Pelodiscus sinensis: one gene and its partners. The protein of the gene in region 2 interacts with the protein of the main gene of each other region in a pairwise test. Links are inferred from orthologs where the notes say so. Each region holds a gene or a part of one and is shown on either strand. Other genes may lie near its edges.

What was found.
Region 1: the proteins of DACH1 (region 2) and C2H1orf35 interact in binary tests that used the Homo sapiens proteins (3 or more experiments, as listed by UniProt). The two-hybrid records come from large-scale screens. The link is inferred for Pelodiscus sinensis from reciprocal best matches to the Homo sapiens genes DACH1 and C1orf35.
Region 3: the proteins of DACH1 (region 2) and RNF14 interact in binary tests that used the Homo sapiens proteins (3 or more experiments, as listed by UniProt). The two-hybrid records come from large-scale screens. The link is inferred for Pelodiscus sinensis from reciprocal best matches to the Homo sapiens genes DACH1 and RNF14.

The regions. Positions count from the first base shown.
Region 1 is NC_134712.1:252,797,931-252,805,840, reverse strand, and holds the start of C2H1orf35 (multiple myeloma tumor-associated protein 2), read right to left. Parts: upstream 3,061-7,910; 5' UTR 2,916-3,060; intron 1,970-2,915; exon of another isoform or gene 1,532-1,969; intron 102-1,531; 5' UTR 33-101; coding exon 1-32.
Region 2 is NC_134711.1:269,754,766-269,762,620, reverse strand, and holds the start of DACH1 (dachshund homolog 1), read right to left. Parts: upstream 3,085-7,855; 5' UTR 2,647-3,084; coding exon 1,901-2,646; intron 1-1,900. UniProt on the Homo sapiens protein: Transcription factor that is involved in regulation of organogenesis. Seems to be a regulator of SIX1, SIX6 and probably SIX5.
Region 3 is NC_134727.1:24,328,492-24,336,287, forward strand, and holds the start of RNF14 (E3 ubiquitin-protein ligase RNF14), read right to left. Parts: upstream 3,061-7,796; 5' UTR 2,903-3,060; intron 2,800-2,902; exon of another isoform or gene 2,165-2,799; intron 828-2,164; 5' UTR 819-827; coding exon 665-818; intron 1-664. UniProt on the Homo sapiens protein: E3 ubiquitin-protein ligase that plays a key role in the RNF14-RNF25 translation quality control pathway, a pathway that takes place when a ribosome has stalled during translation, and which promotes ubiquitination and degradation of translation factors on stalled ribosomes.

The sequences.
Region 1 (7,910 bases), on a different chromosome or scaffold from region 2:
CCCCTCACTCCTCCCCTGGATGAGCCAAACATGGTGCGGGAAGAAACAGTCGGCTGCGTTGGAAACGAAATCGATCACCACGGGATGCTCAGCTCTCTGCCCTGAGTCGTCAAGAAATAGAACATACAACAAGATCATCCCAAAGGTTACAGATCACACCCCACAGCCAACTGGCTTACAACAGGCCTGCATCGTGATGGAGGGGGAAAATGTTCAAAGTCGCTAAGAGAGGGACGTTGACTGCTAGAATCGGCATGAATTCCTGCAGCTGACCCGGGGTGCTGTGAATGGCACCTTCCTGTGCCGGCCCACTCCGACCAATACCTCTGTGGGGATTCACCCCGAGGCAGCTTCTGGCTGGCTGGGGTTCCACGGGGATAAAATGAGAGCACCTCCCATGGGCACCCCCACTTATTGGCCCAGGGTTGGAGAGGCTAAAGCTGTTTTCTGTCATCATGACCTTCCTCAGCCCCTGGGTTTACACTGGCAGAAAGCTGAACCCATCTCACTGGCCACGCAGAGTGCTAGGTGGCCTTGTCCCAGCCGTACAGAAGAGCAAGGCTGTCTCTCAGAGTAGGTGCCCCAGGGCAGACTCCTTACATCAGAGCGGCCAGACTGGGTCAGACCAAAGGTCCACTTAGCCCAGTGTCCTGTCTGCCGACAGTGGCCAATGCCAGGTGCCCCAGAGGGAGGGAACACAACAAGTAATCCTCATGTTAATCCCTCTCCTGTCACCCATTTCCAGACAGCGGCTAGGGACATCATTCCTACCCATCCTGGCTCATCGCCATTGATGGACCTAACCTCCATGAATCTATCTAGCTCTTTTTTTAACCCTGTTAAAGTCCTAATCTTCACAACATCCTGTGGCAAGGAGTTCTACAGGTTGACTGTGCGCTGAGTGAAGAAAAACTTCCTTCAGCCATCTATGCCCTTTGCAAGCTATCCAGAAGCAGGAGGAGCATGAGAGGAAGCAGGTCACATCTAGCAGAATGCAGGAGCTGTGCACCTGGGCAGACCCTCGGTTCTGTGGAGGCAGCATCCTGACATAGGCCTCACAGGGCTCTAGAGCAGGATTTCCCAACATATGGGTCACCATTACATTTCACAAGGGTGGCCAGGTGTCTCCCCAGGTGGCTCTTAAGGAGCTATTCACACATTTTTTGAATTGCCCTGGGTCACCAAGTCTTCCTGAATTGTCAAAATGGGTCCCCATCTGGAAAAGGTTGGGAACCGCTGCTCTAGAGGGAGGCAAAACACCCACAGCGCCCTTGACAGATTTTTCGCAGCTGTGTAGGGAGAAGAGACGCTCTTCCTGACCCTCATGGCAATCAGCTTGTGCCCTGAACTGTGGGACGTAATTAACCCCCATTTTAGCATGTACAAATATGGGTATTTTTATACTGCACCATGACCACACACAAGATGCTTTGCAGACTCCTGGAAACAGGAGTTCCCCTCAGCAAAGACCTCACGAGAGACGGGAGCAACACAACCTGCTTTCCCCACAGTCATAAGGAACAAAACTCACTGACTGGGGAGTTCCTCTAGGTTTTCTCTCTCTCTTCATGCAGTGACCAGCCCAGAAGCCTCCCTCCCAATCAACATGCCCAGGGAAAGGTGTGCAGAAGCCTGGCTCTAAATCATTCCTTCCTTTGCATTTCCTAGCTCTCGGCGTTCCTCCAGTGACAGTAACCCACATCTCCCCTCTCGTGGGCCTTTCCGCAGGGCTGGCGCCGCACACGAGTCCAGTGCCAGCAGGCGGAGAGGAAGCGAGTCAATGGTGCCAGGCCCACAGCTGCCTGGCTCTAAGGCAGGCTCCCCTCCCCTCCCATGGGGGCTGGAAGTGGGGGGAGGGTTGCTAGGGACCCCCTGGCCTGGAGCAGTTTCCATTTCACACGGGATACATAGGGTGGGCCTGTGGCTTTCGGGCCCGACATACACACTGTCCCTGACCCCGGCCGCGCACGCTGTCTCTGCCCCCCCCCCCCATCGCTGTGCACACTGTCCCTGCCCTCCCACCCCACGCCCCGGCTGCGCGCACTGTCCCTGCCCCCCCCAGCTGCACGCGCACTGTCCCTGCGCCCCCCTCACTGTCCACGCACTGTCCCTGTTCCCCCCCAGGCTGCGCACGCTGTCTCTGCCCCCCACCCATCGCTGTGTGCACTGTCCCTGCCCTCCCACCCCACACCCCGGCTGCGCGCACTGTCCCTGTGCCCCCCCTCACTGTCCACGCACTGTCCCTGTTCCCCCCCCGGCTGCACGCGCCCTGTCCCTGAGCCCCCCCCCACTGTCCACGCACTGTCCCTGTTCCCCCCCCCCCCCCGGCTGCGCACGCTGTGTCTGCCCCCCCTCCCCCCATCGCTGTGCGCATTGTCCCTGCCCTCCCACCCCACGCCCCGGCTGCGCGCACTGTCCCTGCGCCCCCCCCCCCGGCTGCACGCGCACTGTCCCTGTTCCCCCCCCCCGGCTGCGCGCACTGTCCCTGCGCCCCCCCCCCGGCTGCACGCGCACTGTCCCTGCGCCCCCCCCCCCCCGGCTGCACGCGCACTGTCCCTGCGCCCCCCCCGTGCACGCACTGTCCCTGCGCCCCCCCCCCCGGCTGCACGCGCACTGTCCCTGCGCCCCCCCCCCCGGCTGCACGCGCACTGTCCCTGCGCCCCCCCCCCGGCTGCACGCGCACTGTCCCTGCGCCCCCCCCCCGGCTGCACGCGCACTGTCCCTGCGCCCCCCCCCCGTGCACGCGCACTGTCCCTGCGCCCCCCCCGGCTGCACGCGCACTGTCCCTGCGCCCCCCCCCCGGCTGCACGCGCACTGTCCCTGCGCCCCCCCCCGTGCACGCGCACTGTCCCTGCGCCCCCCGGCTGCACGCGCACTGTCCCTGCCGGCTGCGCGCGCTCCCCCCGCCGGGATACCTGCGGCGCGCGGGCTCTCCCCGAGCAGCCCCCTGCCCAGCCGCTTCCGGCAGCGTCAGCCCCGTGCGCGGGAGCCGCCACCGCGAGGGGCAGCCGGGGGAGCATGGGCTGTACCAAGTGGCGCCGCGCGGGGAGGGGAGGGGACGCGCAGACGTACACGCAGCAGCAACTCTGTGTGTGTGTGTGAGTGACAGGGCTTCTGTGTCTGTACCAGTGCCTGCAACACACTGTGTGAGAGACACCTGGGCTGTGTCTACATTGGCATGATTTTGTGCAAAAGCAGCCGCTTTCGTGCCAAAGCTTGCTGCCTGTCGACACTGGCGGGGAGTCCTGGCCGAGAACACTGACGGTCTAATGCGTGAACTCAGGGCTTCTTGCGCAAGGACTATGATGCTCCCGCTCAGGAATAAGCCCTTTTGCGCAACTGTTCTTGCACAAGAGGGCAGTGTAGCCAGGCAACATGAATTTCTTGCGCAAGAAAGCCCTGTGGTTAAAATGGCCATTGGAGCTTTCTTGCACAAGAGAGCGGCTACACTGGTACGGATGCTCTTGCACAAAAACACATCTCTTGCGCAAAAGCACATGCCAGTGTAGATGCTCTCTTCTGGAAGAGTTTTTGCACAAGAACTCTTCCACAAAAGAGTTCTTGCGCAAAATCATATCAATGTAGACGTAGCTAAAGGCTACGTCTACACTGGCGTGATCTTGCACCAGAGATATGCAAATGAGGCTAAGTGTGGAATATTGCCGAGCCTCATTTGCATATCTAATGAGCCGCCATTTTTGCAGAAGAGGCTCTTGCGCCAGAAGGAATTTCTACACTGCCCCTTCTTGCGCAAGAAAAACCCTCTTGCGCGATGCCGTTATTCCTGAAAATAATCAGCGTAGCGGCATTGCGCAAGAGGGTTTTTCTTGCGCAAGAAGGGGCAGTGTAGACAGCTCCTTCTGGCTCAAGAGCCTCTTCCACAAAAATGGCAGCTCATTAGATATGCAAATGAGGCCCGGAGATATTCATAGAATCATAGAATCATAGAATAATAGGACTGGAAGGGACCTCGAGAGGTCATCGAGTCCAGCCCCCCGCCCTCAAGGCAGGATCAAGCTCCGTCTACACCATCCCTGACAGATGTCTATCTAACCTGTTCTTAAATATCTCCAGAGAGGGAGATTCCACCACCTCCCTTGGCAATTTATTCCAATATTTGACCACCCTGACAGTTAGGAATTTTTTCCTAATGTCCAATCTAAACCTCCCCTGCTGCACTTTAAGCCCATTACTCCTTGTCCTGTCCTCAGAAACCAAGAGGAACAAATTTTCGCCTTCCTCCTTGTGACACCCTTTTAGATATTTGAAAACCGCTATCATGTCCCCCCTTAATCTTCTTTTTTCCAAACTAAACAAGCCCAGTTCATGAAGCCTGGACAATGTAGCACTTTAAAGACTAACAAGATGGTTTATTAGATGATGAGCTTTCGTGGGCCAGACCCACTTCCTCAGATCAAATAGTGGAAGAAAATAGTCACAACCATATATACCAAAGGATACAATTAAAAAAAGTGAACACATATGAAAAGGACAAATCACATTTCAGAACAGAAGGGGAATGCAGGGGGAGGGGGGAGGAAGGAAGGTAAGTGTCTGTGAATTGATATTAGAGGTGGGGAGAGTGGGATGTTTGTGAGTTAATGGTATTAGAGGTGATAATTGGGGAAGCTATCTTGATAATGGGTAAGATAGTTCAAGTGTTTGTTCATTCCTTTTTGGAGAGTGTCGAATTTTAACATGAATGACAGTTCAGAGGATTCCCTTTCAAGTGCAGATGTAAAAGGTCTTTGTAGCAGAATGCAGGTGGTTAAGTCACTGAGAGAGTGTCCTTTCTGGTTAAAATGGCAAGAAACTGTTTTTCCATGCTTAGCCTCATTTGCATATCTCTGGTGCAAAATCATGCCTATGTAGACATAGCCAAGGGGTGTGTATGTGAAAAAGAGACACACACATAGAGATGGGCAGGGGAGGGCTGTTATAAGACTTCATGTCTTAGGGTTTGTAAAACATTTTGAGATTGGTTGTTAATAAAAATGTTGTTTTATAGAGCACTTGCCATCCATAGCTCTCAAAGCCCTTCGCACAGGAGGTCAGTAACTCAGTTTCCATTTTACTGAGAAGGAAACTGAGGCAACAAGCACACACACACACATTTAAAAATCACTCATGAAAGTTACAAGGAAGCCAAAGGGTTACATGTCAAAGTGACCCAGCTTGGGTATCTTGGCTGGTCTTAAAATAGCCCCTTTATCTCAGAGTTTGCAGCCTATTTACATTAAATGCCATCCTGAAGGAATGTAAGGTCTGTTTCTTGACTGAGATAATTAGATCTTTGGCTTAGTGCACTGATGGCCTTCATGCATCCACAGGCACATACCACATGCATATCATTTAGCACCATAGTGATAGAAATGTAGCCGTGTTAGTCTGGGGTAGCTGAAGCAAAATGCAGGACAATGTAGCACTTTAAAGACTAACAAGATGGTTTATTAGATGATGAGCTTTCGTGGGCCAGACCCACTTCCTCAGATCAAATAGTGGAAGAAAATAGTCACAACCATATATACCAAAGGATACAATTAAAAAAAGTGAACACATATGAAAAGGACAAATCACATTTCAGAACAGAAGGGGAATGCAGGGGGAGGGGGGAGGAAGGAAGGTAAGTGTCTGTGAATTGATATTAGAGGTGGGGAGAGTGGGATGTTTGTGAGTTAATGGTATTAGAGGTGATAATTGGGGAAGCTATCTTGATAATGGGTAAGATAGTTCAAGTGTTTGTTCATTCCTTTTTGGAGAGTGTCGAATTTTAACATGAATGACAGTTCAGAGGATTCCCTTTCAAGTGCAGATGTAAAAGGTCTTTGTAGCAGAATGCAGGTGGTTAAGTCACTGAGAGAGTGTCCTTTCTGGTTAAAATGGCAAGAAACTGTTTTTTCTTTGTGATCTTGTCTGATATCTGTTTTGTGGGCATTAATCCTTTGGCGAAGTGTCTGAGATGTTTGTCCAATGTACATAGCAGATGGACACTTTCGGCACATGATAGCATAGATTATATTTCTGGATGCGCAGGAATATGTGTTCTTGATCTTATAACTCACTTGGTTAGGTCCAATAATGGTATCAGCAGAATGAATATGTGGACAAAGCACCAGGATCTCTTACAGATCAAAGCACTCCCATAGACCTTAGTCTGTCCTGCAAGCACACATATCTTTCACTTTACTCAGCCCCTTTGCAATCAATGAGACTACTCACATGAGTAAAGTTACACATGGGTGTAAGCTTTTGCTTGGTCACCACCTCAGTGTAGACAGTCAGAACATGAGGAGTAGCAACTAAGGAAGGAAGGTAGAAGGAAATAGTTGAGCAAGGGCTACAGCGTGAAAATCATAAGATGGATTGTTGCAGATGCAGCATAGCTCGCTCCCCGTCAATTTTAGTTTTGCTGCTTGTCTGCAGAACTGTATAATTGCTGTATGTTTTTGTGGGCTGGATAGGAGGAGATCTCTCTCTAATCTAAACACTGGTTTGGGAGTCCTGAAGTCAGCTCTTATTTTGCCCATCAAAATTATTTAAGTTCCATCTTCCAGCTATGAGTCCTAGCCCTCCCTACCCACATACTCTCAGAACTTGATCTTTACTACGTTGTACCCATTTATGCTTCTGACAAATGTTGCTGAGGTCCATCTCTTGGTACACCACACATCCTTTGGGCATACGGATTCTGTAAACTACTGGGTTTTTTCAGCTGTCATTGAAGTCAATGAAAACTGTGGGTCCTTCTCTCTTTCCAAGAGAAGGCTAATTATCAGACTGGGCCAACATTATTTTCTTCAAGTCTGATTAAATACTGAACATGGAAGCCCTTGGTCATGGAAGGATCCCTGATATGTTCTGTAAGTATGAGCTGTTCACTGCACTCTCCTGCTCAGATTTCAGCACCTGAAATCACATGCAGCCTTGTCTAGCTTTTCTGCAGCTTCCACTGATTAGGATGCTGATCTACACTGCCTGCTTTAATCTGTTCCCTTGTGTTCCTGTGCCTGGGGGAAAACAGCTGACATGTTCTCCTGAGGTGGCCACATTTTGCAGTGGATCAAGTGATTCTCATCACTTGTCACGTGCTTTGGGATTTTGTGGGAAGAAAGGCTCTAAGTCTATCTAAATGTAAGATTACAGCAAAACCTGATTTGGACGCCATCTCACACAGAAGGCCTACATCTTAAGCAATCACTTCAAACACCCAAACAGCCTCAATACTGCTTCCTTCAAACTACCGTGAAAACTGTAACTACCCCTGAATGTTAACTTGAGTCCTGCAGTGACTCATTTACACTCAATGTACAAAGTCTTTAAAACTGAGGTGAGAAGCATGTTGGCCTTCCTGCAAAAGCTTATACTATCTGGCTGCTCAGGGTGTGAAAGGCATTGGTGGTGGGAGACTCAATCCAGCTCCCAGTAGACTTATTCCTCATCACAAAATCTTAATGGGTACAGAGACAAGAGCTGGTCCCCTTTTCTGGTAATCTCAGCAGATAGGACAGTTAGAGGTAGAATGGTAAGAGGGTAGGACGCAAGCCTAGGACTAGGGACAACTGCATTTAAGTCTCTGCTCTATGACAGAGTTAGGAAAGTTACTTAGCCTCTGTTCCTGCTCTGTAAAATGACACCACCACTGCATGGGGTGTTGGGAGGCTAAATATACAAAAGACTGTGCAGTGCTCAGATAATATAATAACGAGTGCCATAGAAGTATTGCAGGCTGTTGTAGTATAAGGACACCCTACATCAATGGGAAAAGATCTTTTATTGATGTTGGCAATCCATTTCTCTAGGAGCCAGTAGCTGTACCTACACAGGGGAAGCAGTCACTCTGTGCACAGGGTGCAAAATTTTTCACATCCCTAAATAATGTAGCTGAAACAAAATACAGGACTATGTTGCAC
Region 2 (7,855 bases):
AGTTGATTTTGCAGTGTTGATATGACCAGCCTGTTTGAACCATATTGTCAAATCGTGTTACAACTTGCAAAAGTGGAAGGATTTAGTCACAAAAAATAAAGCCCGTACATTTTTTTAAATCAGTCTTGTTCAATACATATAACACTGCATTGTATTATTCTTCATTTGCATGCTCATTTGATTCCACCACAATGTCTAGTACACAACTAAGAGGAAAGTTGTTATAGGAGAGCAACAATGTTCTAAAATTATTCCAGGGTATATTTATCTTGCTCCCCTGTATATTTGAAAACTTAGATAATCAAGCTAGACGTAAAGGCACGAACGAGTGCTTTCCTTTGCCTTGCTCTCTAGGATAATGAGTCCAACATCCCCATCCCCCCCCCTAATTAAAGGAGAGGGAAAGAAAGAATTGAGTCGCACCCAGTCATTACAAAATTGAATGAACAAAGTCTCATCGGGGGTTAATTCCCCACGTGCTGCCGCTGCTGCATCTTTAAAATCTCACAGGGGAAAAAAGTGAAATCCAAATTATGAGTTGGAAGAGTCTGTTTGCGTTTAATGAAAACATCATCTGACAAGCGACTCTGCTTACAGACTCTTTAATGGCAAATCTGAACTACTCTATAAAGTTTCCCACCAAGCTCCAGAACGGTTTCAAGCCAGCAGACACCCCCCCCCCCCCCCCACAAGCCAACAGAGGCTTCGATGAAGTGAAGAAGCTTCCAAACACTCTGCTCTTTAGCTCACAGCAGTTGTTTAATTCCCGTTGCCTCCCTTTCCTAATCAGACAGATTTAGTGGGAACAGCCCCGTTCTTTCACTCGCCGTTTTTAAACAAGCTTGTTACTTCAGAAGGAATTTCCTCTTTTGTCAGTTTCCCCCCAGTTGCGCCAACTTGAGATTATCACTGGCTCCCTTTGTCTGAGTGCTTTGACGGGTGAGGGTGCCCTGCGATCTGTCCCGAGCTGGAACGCTGCCCTCCCTTCCCATGTGTGATTCTCGCCCCCTTGCACGCCGGACTGTTAATCAGATGCGCCGTAATATGAGTCAGCCCTGACAAATCCCCTCCACACTTCTGCTCCCCGCGAGTCACCTACTCGCTCGCCTCGCTCACGCACCTGCTTCCCTGGGACTAGCCCACCACCAGAGAGAGCAGGACGGGCCTGGCCCTTTGCAACTGTCCCCTATTGACCCCTCCGGCAACGCCACGTCCCCCGTGGCAACAGCCGTCAGTTGCCACACATCTAGTCGCCCCTTGCCGAGCGATCCCCGCGGCCGCTGCTCGGGAGCCAGCCAGGCCTGCATGCGGGGCCACCCTTCAGAGACAGCCCTGCCAGCGCTGTGCACCGACTCCCAAGGAGTCTCAGCCTCCCCCGCCCCCGCCTTCACATCACCTTTGCTGGCTGCCTCGTGGCTCTTTATACAACTCAACCCGGGGGGGGGGGGTCAGAGCAATCACTCTCAGCCCAGAGTTTACAATCAGCTCTCCTGGTGCACGCCTCGCCCCAGCCCCACGCCCCCCTCCCCAGCCGGCGCTCGAAGGAAGGAGGCGCCCTGCCCATGCAGCCTGGGGGTGGGGGGGAGGGTCAAGAGTCGCACAGCACCGGGCTGACACTTGAAAGCGGCTGAGGAAAGAGCAGACACCCCCCACCCAGCACCTTTCTGGCCCACTCGGAGCACATGGCCCAGCCCCGTGCGCCCGCAGCAGGGAAGGGGGAGAGGGGCACGCGGCGAAGAGAGCAGGCTGCTCCAGGGCTTGCTGAGCGGCACCACTAGGAAGAGGAGCGGTAGCTGCCCGGGCGGCGTGTCAGGGCTGCCTGTGTGAGGGTGGGACGGAGGCGGAGGGGGGGGGGAGGGGAGAAGCGGAGAAACGTGTGTGTGTGGGGGGGTGTCTTTACCTTGCGTTGGTGCAGTCGTTGTAGAGGGTCTCGAAATCCTTCCTGGAGATGAGTTTGCAGCGGTTCACGCCAGGCTGGATGGCCCCCAGTCCCCTCAGGATGCGGACCTGCTCCACGTTGCACACCACGGGCGTGATCTCCAGCCGCTTCAGCTTGGTGTAGACGGTGTGCAAGCCCCCTACCAAGTGCTTCAGGAAGAGGTCGAAGGCCTGGGGCAGGCAGATGAGCTCGCAGCCCTCCACGGTGAAAGAGGCCACCTTGGCCCCCCTCAGATCCACCATCTTGCACTCATTATTCTGGGGGGTGTTCTCCACCGGCGACGGGGTCGAGTACACCGGCTTGCCCGGCAGGCTGCTGCCGCTGCTGCTGTTGGCGGTGCTGGCACTGGGGGTGGAGGTGCCGCCGCCGCCGCCTGCGCTGCTGCTGCTGCTGCTGCTGGTGCCCAGGCTGGGGCTGCAGCTGCTGCCGCCGCCGCCTCCTCCGTTGCTGCTGCTGCTGCTGCCGCCGCCTCCGCCGCTGCTGGTGGTAGAGGTGACTGTGGCCGCCGCTGCTGCTGCCGCCGCCGCGCTGGGCTCCGGCCGGAATAGGTTCGTCCCCGAAGAGGCTGGCGGGGGAGCGAGGGACGGAGACGGAGACGAGGTGGCCGACGAGGTGGTGGTGGTGGTGGTACAAGCGGCAGAAGTTGAGATCGGAGGTTGAGGGGGGACCAGCTGGGTCGGAGGGATCAAAGCAGCCGGTACGGCCATGGTCACATATACGAAGTGGGGGGTGAGGGGCAGGGGGAAAAAAGTTGCCGCGCTGACAAAAAGGGGGGAGGGAGGGGAGAGAGACTTGGGGGGGGAAGCCCCAAGCCAGCTGCCGCCGAGAGGCAGAGAAAGGGGAAGAGCGAGCGAGAGAGAGAGAGAAATGCACAAAGTGTCCCGCAAGTGGGGAAGGAGAAGTCCGCTGCGCGTAGTAGGGTTAGGGTTTAGGGGAAGGGGGGCGGCGGAGGGTGGTTTGTTTTGTGGTCCTTGCTCTAGCACCAAGTTAAAGATGAAGGTGAAAAGGAGGAGGTTTGAAGGACTTCGGTTCTCTCTGGCAAGTACATTGATCAAAGATTGAGAGGGGAATGACAGAGAGAAAATGAGCTGAAAAGTGCTGGCTGCTGCTGCTCGCTGCTCGCTCGCTCTCTAGCTCTCTGGACGAGTTGTTGTTGTCACACGGTGCAGAGGGGAGGAGCTCCGGCAACTTGAAATACCCTTTGAAGCAGCAAAAGCCTCACTCACTAGTATTAACCCAAATTATCCAACCAGGAACCCGGAGCAGAGAGAGAGAGAGAGAGAGAGATCCCTCTTCCTCCTCCTCCTCCCCAGAAACCGTTAGATTATATGTTTCATATTTCATCTCAACAGAGACGAGATGTAATTTTCAAACACTTCTAAGCGATCCAAACACTCTTGACAGAGAACCAAGAACACATCAAGTTTTTCTTCTTACAAGAATTAGGGCGCATCTTTTTCATAACGTAGAACATGGGGAGTAGAGGAAGGGGGCGGAACTTTACTCGACTACACACCTTACGAAGCACTCTTTATGAATAGCCTATCTATTTGAAAACAAACAAAAAAACGGATTATATTTCTCAAGACAGCAAACAAGCCAAGTGACAGGAATGAAAGTTAATAATAAGATTCCAGAAAGAGCATAATAATTATCACTAGATCCCTTTATTGTGTGAAAGACTAGTAATTGTAAGGAGCATGTAGCACTACAGGAGAAAGAAAAGCAAGCGAAAAAATATTTACAGAAAACGAGACATTTATGGATCAAAGAATACCGAGCACTTGTTTTTCATACAATTTAGTAATAGCACTTTTTGTGCTAAAGGATTCTTCTGGCAAGGGCGACCGCAGTAATTTTTAAAGCAATGAACAAGTGCCTGTTTTCATCTGTAGGCTCCCATGAACTTTTTGATCACAAGTGTAACGCTGTTAAACAAGAAAGGCATTTATGGCTGCCTTCATAGCACATAGGATCCAACTCACGTTTGATTGATTGTGTTTGTGATAGCTACCAAAAAGGAGGTCTTTTAACTAAAACGTGTGAAAAGAATTAGTTTGTAACATTTGTTCTAATCAGGTTGAAGTAACTTTTCAATAAAATAGCCAAGAAGTCACAGAGCTGAAACTGAATGCTTACTCCCACCCTGTTTTGTCTAGGTATTGCAACGGTCTGTGAACAACAGGTGACTGCAAGCCACACATCCAAGTTTGATCATTGATACTTTGACCGTATCAGCAGGTATGCTGTAAAATTAGCTGTTGCGCTTGCCCACACATGCGCAGTAGCTAATTTTATAAGCTATGCAGTTATATATTTGAATTGTGGGATCAGGCCGCATATATACTGTAACTCCTGGAAATTCTAAGGGTTAAAGGTAACATTTTAGTCTGAATTCGGAATTTCCTTTTTGGTTCTGGTTGGGGGAATTGCTTTGGTCTTCTATTTATTTGGGGGGTTTCTGGTTTTTTTTTAACAAAGCAATATTCTTTGTACAAATGTATGAGCTGCAGCAATACTATACGCATTATTTAGGGGGTTTTAAACAATGTAAATTAATCACTCGTAGTCTGTGACTCAACCTGACCCTTGCCTGTTCTTTTTTTTAAATGTGTAATATTTATATGAGACAAGAATCATGGGATTACAAGTCTAGATGGATGATAAGAATCTTAATGGAAACTATTTCTATAATATGGAAGGAAATCACTTTTTCAGTTTGCCAATAGCTATTAGTGTTCTGTTATGACTTGCTTCCTCACTACCTGTGAGATTGCTTTTTAAATTCCAGTTTATTTAGTTATGAATACCATAAGGTGTCTTCAGCGAGTGAACTTTTATTTTCCCAATACTCTATTTTTTTCTTCTTTTCTTTTTTAAAGCTGTTCGGTTATCACATTCAAACTTGAATCTTGTGTACCAACAATACAAGTTACAAAGTTCAAGAAACACAAACAAACCTTAAAATAGGAATGCATATGGAACTTTAATTGTGGTGCAGCCTGACGTTGAAAATACTTTATAGGCCTTGAAGATGTAACCGAATTGCAATTATTTTATTTTCAGGTAACTTGGATCAAAGTTGTTGAAAACCTACTGCTGGCAGTCACTCTTTTAATTTCCCTATTTTCACACACTCATATACATTCGATAGTCATTAAACATGCGCCTGAGAAAGTTAATGCAGGGCTGAACAGTTGTGATGTAACCATTTCACCTCAATCCCTGAATGAATTCTGAATTTATTCAAAACGCCTCCCCCATGTCCCTGCCACATATCACTTGCTCTTTACCTACTCTGCAACAGGATGCATTCCTGATTTTCTTCTAAATGTGTGCTCTCAAGGACACCCATTGTGTTTTTAAATAGTTTAAAAATGTGGTTTGTAAATTATTTGCTACAATAGTTTTGGTTAACGGTACTGTTTTAATGAAACAATGGGATTAGAAACCAACACATTTATGAAACGGTTCAAGAATCTTCAAAGCTTCTTGCTTGGTGAGTGTTCCAAGCAATTAAAGCAAACTGGGTTTATTTTAACCCAGAGACTCACACCAACAAATAATGGTAGTTGTCGTTTCCTCTCTTCAAACTTTTTTTCATATTGCATTTTGATGTCACGTCGATCCTTTCAAGAAATGATATTGTTAGCTTCGCCTCCCAACACCCCAGAATGTATATCAGTAAAACTCTAAGCACTAGAACTGATTTGAGAATTCTCCCTGTGTCAAGTGAAGACTTATGGTGCTGAAATCAATAAGACTGCTTAAAATTCAAAGACCTGCAAATCGTTCTGTTTGTCCTTTGATAGGGCCTGTGCTGATTAAAATGCGACCAGGAAGGCTTAATTGCTGCACTAATTAAGAAGTCTTTAATTTTATTCCTGGGATATTGTTTGAAGCAGGGTTTCTCTTGTGCTCACATAACAGTTCAGGGCAGGTACTCTGTTTTTTTCCCCCTCTTTATGACCATTTCGGTGAAGGAGAAGGTATATTGAAACAGTAAGATGAATGGATAGTTATAATTTATTATTTTAAAAATCAGCACCTGTTCCGGAGCTCACTATTTTATTAAATCCAGTTTTACGGTCAGCTGAAATATGTAAGATGTAATTAGGAAATGTATTGTAGCTGTTCATTTTAAGTACTCTGAATACCTGACCGCCTGGCACCCTCTAGACACCAGTTGTTACTGTAAATAATTTCAGTCAAACAGAAGAATACTAACTTCAGAATGTCGGGTAGGAAGAAGGAGAGGGGATTGGTGCAAGAAGGTAGGTAGATAGTGATATATATCCAGACATACGTTAAATTCATTAACATAGATTCTATCTGCATTTATTTTGACATCCCCTCCCGAAAAATACACTATTCTATTTTATCGCCTCTCATTCTTAGCTATTGACCTATTTTGTTCACCGATTTTTCAAGTGGGGAAACTGACTACATGATTTCACAAAGCTTTCTATATGATCAATAGCATTTTTTTTAGGTTTATTCATACTGCAATATAATTCTGGCAAACGATTGCAAAGCAGAAGACTTCTGAGGAAGATACCTTTCTTTTGTAAATATTTGTAAGTTTCGTTGTGCTTTAAATATTTAGGCTCTCCATTCAGCGTCCCTTTTCCTGGAGTTACCTGTATGTTTGCGGGGAGCCAGGGTAAAAGGTGACATATATCGAACCACCCATGCATTCTGAAAGGAAAACGGAAAGTTATAACAATGTAAGCTTAGATGCTGGGGTCCTTTTTTCACTAAGATATTTGCTGAACCTTTAAATATGTATTGAAAACACGAATACATTTGAGATAGATGTAACATCTCGTACCAACAACTAGAAACTAGATACCACAGTGCTAGTTTTCGAAATTGTTGCATTATAGTAAAATTAGCCCGAACCTCACCCAATACAAATACATACTGGACAAGATGATAACATGCTTAATAGCTGCAAAGAAAGACTTACCATTCCAAGCACGACGTCACGCTAATTATGTTTATTTTAATTGAAAGCAAGGTTTGGGGGGAATCTGAAATTACTTGTAGGATATTTAGTAATAATAAAAATAATAATTAATAAAGAAAATACACCAAATGTTGATCCCAAAACCTTTAAGTCTTTCGGAATCTATTGGAAAATTAAATGAAAAGTGGAGTTTGGTACAAACAATGCCCCAGGGCAAAAAAAAACAACTAACACTAGATTTTCCAGCCCAGCCATAACACAAATCAATTTGAGCACACTTCTATGGCCAGACTGCCAGATTGTTATGACTGCTAATTCACTCAATCAAACAGTGCATTAGCACGCCCGGTGCAAACAGCTTTAACAATAGCATCCACTTCTGAATAGTCCACTATATATCATAAGATACAGTACATGGCAATAGTTAACATTTGTTTATCACCCCGAACATGTACATTTGCTAAGTGTTTTAACAAAAAAAATGCGCCGAACAACTTAAAATGAGTTAAAAAAAATCACACCCTCGGACGGTATTTAAAAATAGCCATAAAAGTTTTGAGAACATTAAGAACTTGGGAGAAATTGTGGTCTGGTCTTCGCTTTAAAACACAGTTCTCAGCTATCTACACGTCTAAAGTATCTCACTGGAAATGGATTATCCCACTATTTATTTTTTTTTTTTTATTTTTTTTTTAATTGTACACTCTGCCTCACCAGTTTCACTGAAGACCGTAAGGGCCTTCTCTCGCGACGTTTGATCACGCGATACTCCCACTGAATTCTATGGTAAAATAAGGATTTAGTCTCAAATGGATAACTTCAGGTCTCTCCCTTTTAACCCCAGGAGTAACGAGAGGGTTATTTGTACTGATTTTAACGGATGATCTAACCAAAGAAAAGGTTGCACTAACCTCCCCCCTCCAAAATGGATATCAATCTTCTTTCCC
Region 3 (7,796 bases), on a different chromosome or scaffold from region 2:
TATGAGTCTATGAAGCAAAGGCACCTCTCTGAGTTAATACCCACTTCACAGACTGTGAAGCTTAAAAGAGATACAATTAAAAACAGAATTAAACATAATTTCAAGTCCCTCGGCCAAAAGTTTAAAAGTGTGTGTTTGTTACTTGTTATTCCCGTAGCCAAATTTGGCCTATACAAACAAGGAAAACAGAATTATTGCATATGGGAACCAATGAAGCTAACTACACACGCACTATTGTGTCCAATATAGAATTCAATGCCCTGAACAAATACAAAATAATATTTTCTCAAAGTTGACACTTACAGTAATGCTCAGTGTTACCTGTGATAGTAAGCAATATTTCTTTAAAACATTTTAAAAATGATAATGTACTTTATCTAATATTTCAAAACTCAAGAGTCTTGGGTGAAAGGCACTACAAAAATGCAATGCAATGCAAAAACACACTAGATGGACATGAAAGTAACTCAAATATCTACATCAATTTGCTTCTAGAGTCCCCCATGGAATAACGTAATGTATGACAAATTGTTCCTGACTTTGATGTTTCACGAAAATAAAATAAAAATGTTTGGGGAGCCACCTTTGGAATATATGTATGAAAATATAAAGTATTTTTTTTATAAAAAATCATTTTAGAATAATGAAAAACATCTGGACTCACCACTCACAAATATTTTGAAATTTTGGGGCAACTCCAGACAAATTCTTGTTTCTCCTCCTTGGGCAGAGTCTGCCCTCTTAAATTCATCTTCATCATAAATACTAGCTAATGCCAGCAGCTCATCCTCCTGAGCTTCCTTATCTTCTGAAGACATTTAACTTTTCTGCAGAATTAAGAAACCAACCAAAAAAATCAAGGACTAAATAGACAATTTGAATGGTCTGTGTGTGTGCGTATATATATAAATGTCACTGAAATGAAAATAAAAAAAACCACAATAGCACAACATAAAAACATACCATACATAATTACTCTTTTTCTTCCAGTTACAGATCCCACACATGCTCTATCATTTGTTGGCAGTTTTAAAGTTCTAAAAAATGGCTCTCTTCAAAACCCAGATAATCAGAGACTAACTCTTAGAAAGTCAACGGCTGAAGAACACTATAGAATGAAATATGTAAGGCAGTGCTAATAGTATCAAGGTTACACTTTATTCATTTGATGAGATGGAAATCGGAGACTGAAGAAAGAAAAAAAATGACAGCTTATGTAGCTGTACCCAGGCTATCTTTAAATAACTTACTAAAGAAGGAAGCGAGGATGTAATAGTGGGCAGCCCAAGACCATTATGGTCCCCTGGCTATGTGCCTGCACTACCAGCCCACACTGCCTTGTTAAACTATCTAGCTAGATGAAAGATAGTGCAGGTACCTCTCTACACTAGGGTTGCAAAAGTTTAACCATTTAACTGGTGGGGCTGGAGCAGCTCTCCACCTGCCACGGGCCGGAGACTACTCCAGCCTTGCAGGGGCTGCTCTGTCCAGGACACCAAAAATTAGCCCTCCAAAAAATCCCTTCCATTGAAGTATTGTCTACATTACAGAAGCACAGATGTACAGCATACATGGATTCAGACTCCTGCAACACTTAGTGCTTGTCTTTGCTGCAGTTAAGACTTAGTTATAACTCAAGTATTGCCCCTAATCCAATACCTGACCACACACAAAAATCTTAAGTGCAGTGACACTTTGAACTCAGGTTGGCTGGCTGGTCAGGGGAGTGCAGACTGCAGCTCAACTACAACAATCCCTCAGCTTCTCTCACAATTGTTTGGAGGCAAATCAAATAATATTTCCAGTTCCCAGTGTGCCCACTCTTGCTGGAACACTTAACTTTAGCCTGGGCAGCTTGAGTTAACACCACAGAGTCCACTAACTCCAGACCAGTGTCAAACACATAATGCTCAACACCCAGGGCAGTAATACTCCAAGTGTGGTCCATGACCATCTTGCAGGTGGGCCACAGGCTCCTCCCCTGCAGTGGTGGTCCAGTCCCACAGTCTTCCTTGAGAGGTTGGAGTGCCAGCACCGGCTTCCCACTTTGCAGGGTGGAGGAGAACCTCCCAGGCCAGATCTGGCTTGTGAAGGAAGTGGCTCCACATTCTGCCACTCGGTGTTCCCTCTAGCCAGGGAAACAGCAGTGCAGGAAACAGCTCACCTGGAAGCTTTCCCTGCTGCTCCCATTGACTGGAATCACAACCAATTGAAGCAGTGGGGGCATGAAGCCAGGTAAACACTAAGGATGTTAAATATCCTGTAATTGAACAGTCGTGTAAACACATGAAATCTTATCATTACATGACTGACTAGTCGATAGTCCCCGGGGCCAGGGCTGGCAGCCAGTATATTCCAAGGAGCCTCCTGCCAGCCTCTGATAGACAGCAATGCAGGGTGGCAGGCAGGAGCTAGAAGCACAGAAGGGAGAGTGGGTAGCAGGTGGCACCGGGGAGCTGGTGCTGGGGAAGGGGGGAAAATGGGATTTTAAGGAAGCAACAGGGGGGGAGGGGCAGGTAGGTCCAGGGAGCTGACACACGCAGGGAGCCTGCTTGAAAGCGGGGTCCTCGCAAGTATCAGCCCCAGCCTAGCCCCTTCGGGCCGCTGCCTCCATCAGAAGTGGGGGCGGCAGACGGGTCCAGGGCTCTGGCCCGCACAGGGACAGGGCTGCGAGGGAAGGGGAAGCGCCTGAAAGGAGACGCCGGCCTGGCACGGGCGCTCCCACGGGACTTTAGGAGAGAAGCGTCAGGCCCCGGATTCTTAGACACTTTCCCAGGCAGCCCCGCCCTTCCCCTCAGGGCTGCCCGGCTCCAGTCGCCTCAGCACCCCCGTCTCCCGCGCATTGCCAGCGCCGGGCCCCGGCCGAGCTACGGACCGCGAGCCTCCTGGTCCCCGCTCTCACCTGGGCCCGGGCGGCCTCCACCGCTTGTCCGCCCCTCCCCGCACGGCCGGGCCCAAGAGCGGCCCCGGTGAGCTCTAAGCAGCGCTGCCAGGAGCCAGCGCCCCCTGCCGGAGGGAGGAGGGCCCTGCGGAGCGGGACGGGGGAGTGGCTGGTCAGCGGGCCGCGCGGACAAGAGGAGAGGAAGGTCTGAGCGGCGCCCGTCTACGTCCAGCCGAGGCGCAGACGCGTGGGAGCCCAGCCTGGCTTTCCCGAGGCTGCGAGCCCTGGCAGCTCCAGCGCTGGAGAGTGCGGGGTGTGTTCGCCGCCGCCTGGCCCCCAGCACGTGCTCTAGGTGCTAAGCGTGCGGGGACCGGAGGAGAAAGCACGTCCTAGAGCAGAAGCAACTTCGCCTACCAAAAACCTGCCTGCAGCAAGAGCCATGACTGCCTTTTAAACGAGGCTGCAGGGAGCCTCAGTGGGTGTGGGCCAGCCCAGTGAGCAGCCACATCACCACGCCTCTTCTTTCAAAATAATGGGCTTATTTCAAATTAACACTGCTGCTTGTATTTCAAAGAGTTATTTGGGGAGGTACTGAGGGGTTAGTATAGACTAGTAATGGCAGTGCGGACCAGTGCTCCCTTTAAGATTTTTCCAACTGTGAGAAGAATGAGTTTTGGCTTGTGCATCAATATTGAGGTTTGGCTGGGCACCACCATGACTATGCTGACCATACGGCCCAGAAAATCTGGAAGAGTCCCAAATTTTAATTGCCTGTCCAGGTGCCCCATAAAACACTGAAAACATCCCAGAAATGGCAGCATAGCTACACGTGGCTGCACTTTTCTGTTTCTTCTCCTGGGGAAAACAGGTGTGCAGGGACTTTTGCACAGATTTTTCCTGCTGCGCTGGAACCTAGCCAAAGCAGCAGGAGGCAGCACCTGACTTCTGGTGCTCTGGCAGGAAGGCAGTTCTTGCCTGCTGCTGCTTTACCAGCATGACTCCTAGGTGGCCCCCTTTGCTGCCTTTTAAACTTTGAAGGAGGAATAAGAGATCCTCCGGAAAAGGGCTTTATTCCAGAGGATCGCACCAGTCTAGATGCTTTTTTCTGGCTTTTCTCCAAGCCGGAAAAAAGCGGTGGACATCTTTATTTAAACCCCCCGCAGATTTCCCTATTCTGAAGTTGAAAATTAGCATGCCCCTTTCGGAAAAGGGGCCAGTGTAGACGTAGCCATAATGAACTAAGTTATACTGTTTTAAATGCCACTAATGATAGATCTCTATTTTAGAAAACTTAACAGCCAATAGTCTGCAGGACCTCAGACTACATCTACACAACAGAGCTATTTCAGGCTACTTCTGGTATTGTCAAAATACCACTATTTCAAAATTAAATTCAAAATGATCTTATTTGGAGGCATAAATTGTGTAGCTTAAATCAAGGTAAGGGTATATTTTTATGCATCCTTAGACTAACAAAAATGTAGATGATTCATCTGAAGGAGTGGTTGTGCCCACAAGAGCTCATGATACCATCTACATTTTTATTAGTCTCTGGGGCTCTGTCTACACTCACGGCTTCTTGGGCAAGTATGACTGTTCTTGCGCAAGAATCTGCAGAGCCTTTACGCTGCCCGCACGCTCTTGCGCAAGGAAATTTACAGTATGGTGTGGTAAGAGGGCTTCTTGCGCAAGAGCTATGCTCCTTAACAGGTGTAAGCCCCCTTGCGCAGGAGCTCTTGTGCAAGAGGGCAGTGTGGACACTCAGCAGGGATTTCTTGCACAAGAAAGCCCTATGGCTAAAATGGCCATCGGAGCTTTCTTGTGCAAGAGAGCATCCACACTGCCATGGGAGCTCTTGTGCAAAAGCATAGCATGCACATGGCAGTGTGGACATTTTCTTGCACAAGAACCCTTGCGCAAGATGTTCTTGCGCAAGAAGCCGCGAGTGTAGACATAGCCTAAAGGTGCCACAGGACTATTTGCTGTTTAAGTTTCTTGAAACTTTATTTTGGAAAAATCACTAAAGGTGAAAAAAGCAATCCCATCAGATACTGCAAATTCACAGGGCCTTGTGTAAATTCAAAACTTGTGTCACAGGAATCAATACCTTTTATTGAACCTTACCCACCTTGTGTGTGTCAAACCAAAAACTGCTTAAATTCTCACAGGCAAGAAATTGCATTTTAACATTGTTAAACTTTTTTTAAAAATCAGTTACTTTAACCTATTATTCCAAAACTTGGAGGAAGCATGTTTATGCCCTTCAATGCAGAATTTAAAAAAAGGGAATTTCGTTTAATTATAATTCCATTTACTTCAAAATGACAAACGAAGCATTTCAGGGATGATGATTGCAAATAAGTGATAGATTCAAAGTTGGTAAATAAGTATCCATCACCATCACAACTCAAGCAATGCTGTTCTCCTTTTAATTCTGGTTCTCCTAATTCAGTTCCTTATGTAATCTTGCCTATCAAACTGTAAACTCTTCCTAGGAAGGACTTAACTTTACTGATAGTTTAACAAGCTAGTCTAACTGGAAAAATGTAACAATAAATAGTCTAGCAGCACTAAAGACTAACAAACATGTAGGTGATATCATGAGCTTTTGTTGTACCCACAAAAGCTCATACCACCATTTACATGTTTTGTTAGTCTTTAAGGTGCTGCTAGATTTTAAGTTTTGATAGTTTACACATTTAAGAAATTGTGGCCTCTTTTTGAAAAATACTTTTTGCATTGGTTGAAATACTAACTTGATGAGTAACATTGCTTGTTGCCTGTGTTAGCTCCACCATGGGCGGGAGGGGGAAGAGGAGATGGAGAAGGGTGATGGAGAGAATCAAATGGAGCATAATCTGTAGGTTGGTTTCTCTTCAGAGTACACAATGTATCCAGGATTTCAGTCACAACTGTAACTTAAAATGTACTTCAAATTTTGAATCCAATTATACTGATCTTTCAAAAATATAGCATCCACTACGCTAGCCACATGTGGCCATTTGGCTGGTTGAGTGTGGCTTGTTTGTAAAAGCAATAGAACTGGTTGCACACCACAGATATAGAGCAAGTTCTCAAAAATAAGACATCCCTTACCCACACACTATCAGAAGCAAAAGGAAATCAGAACTATCTGGAGGAGACAAGACAACTATAGCCTGAACAAAGTTACAAAAATAGCCAGCCTTTGCACAAGAGCTGTTATGTTTGATGATAGCTTGGTCTGGCTATCATTTGTACAGCTGACTCAAGAATAACTAAGGCCATATTTTATGATCAGATAAATTAAAGGTATCTGTTCTTCTAACAGCTAGTACCAGCAAAAGACACACTGAAATCAAATTTGAATTCACGCAAGGTTGACTCCAGCAACTGAGAAGCCACATCCCATTAGAGACAAATAACAGTTTATGATAAGTTGTTAACTATTCTGAAGCAAAGCATAGTATCTAATACCATCAATATGAGCAATGTAAAGCAAGGATGCAGCCAGTGATCTTCTGTGTTTTAGATAATTGTTTGAAATTCCCCTATTATACTGACCTTACACACCTATGGCTACTTAACATTTGCTGAATCTTCATATATCAATGGGATTCCATCCTCAAACAAGCTTTTTGAAAAACAGGAAGTATAGTTAATTGGTGGAACTAGAGGATGGAAAGGGAAGAGGTGTATGATACCACAGGTTTCCAGTACTTTCACTGAAGGATGAGTGGGATTATAGGAGTGTTAGTGGTGTAACTAGAGCTAGCACTGAAGTAATTCAAGCTAAACTGATGAAGGCTGATGAGTCCTAACATTAGCTCAGAGATCATTTGGAGCAGTACTTGTAATGTTTCACAGTAGGCCGTATAGCACTTTTTCTTAAAATGTTTCCAGTACTTGAAATGGGTGCTGCAAATACTATGAATTACGAGTTCTGGGAGCTTCTTGTGAACAGGCACTGTACAGGAAATATTGCAAAACTGGTATTATCATTTAACAGCAGGTTAATTAGCCACAACCATTTACCTTAAGATATTAAGATGTATACCATTTCTGATACCCCATAAAATTGATTTAATTGAGCTATAGTAGAAGCACAATGTTCTAATTAATTTATTATAGGAACACAAATTCTTTCATTTGTCTGGAAAGAGCAAATGAGCAGATTGTACACACTGCAACTTCTTGTTCCTTCAAATACATCCCTGTGGCAAATAAATTGATTAGTGACAGACCTCAATTCTATCACCAACCTAAATTGTAACAGTTACCTTGGCCACAGTTGACAATTAAAAAAAAATAACCCAGTACAATCCAGTGAATTTATTTCTTGTAATGTGTGGATGTTTCAACTTTTGATTTAAAACATACAAAATTAATGTTTTCAGGTTTCTATGACAATTATGAATACTAGAAGCCAAGTCACAGAGCAGCTCATTAAAAAAACCAAATTTATCTTACTGGAAGATAATAAAACCAAGCATTTCAAATGCAGGCCTTATAGAAGCAAGTACAGCTGAAGCCCTTTCATCTGGCACACTGGGGGAACAGGGATGCTGGTAAATTGAAAATGCCGGTGAACTAAGAGGGAGGCATTTGGAGTGCTGAGCAGAGGCATGGAAGGGGCTGCAGGGCATGAGCTCCAGGAGTTTGGGTTCAGAAAGGGGGTTGGGGCAAGGGAGAGGTTCAGGATGCCAGATGGGGCATGGTCACCTCTGGTGGCTCCCGTAAGCAGCTTCCCATCCCTGCCAGAGGCATGGCCAGGTAGCTCTACTGTCTCCATCAGCAGGTAACAATCCCTGCATTTTCTGGCCGCTACTGTGTCTGCACTCCAGGAGGGTGGAGACAGGTGGCATGTCAGCAAAGCCAGTTGGCTATGCCTCTGCCAGCCACAGCAGCAACAGAGAACCATATGCAGAGGGCCATC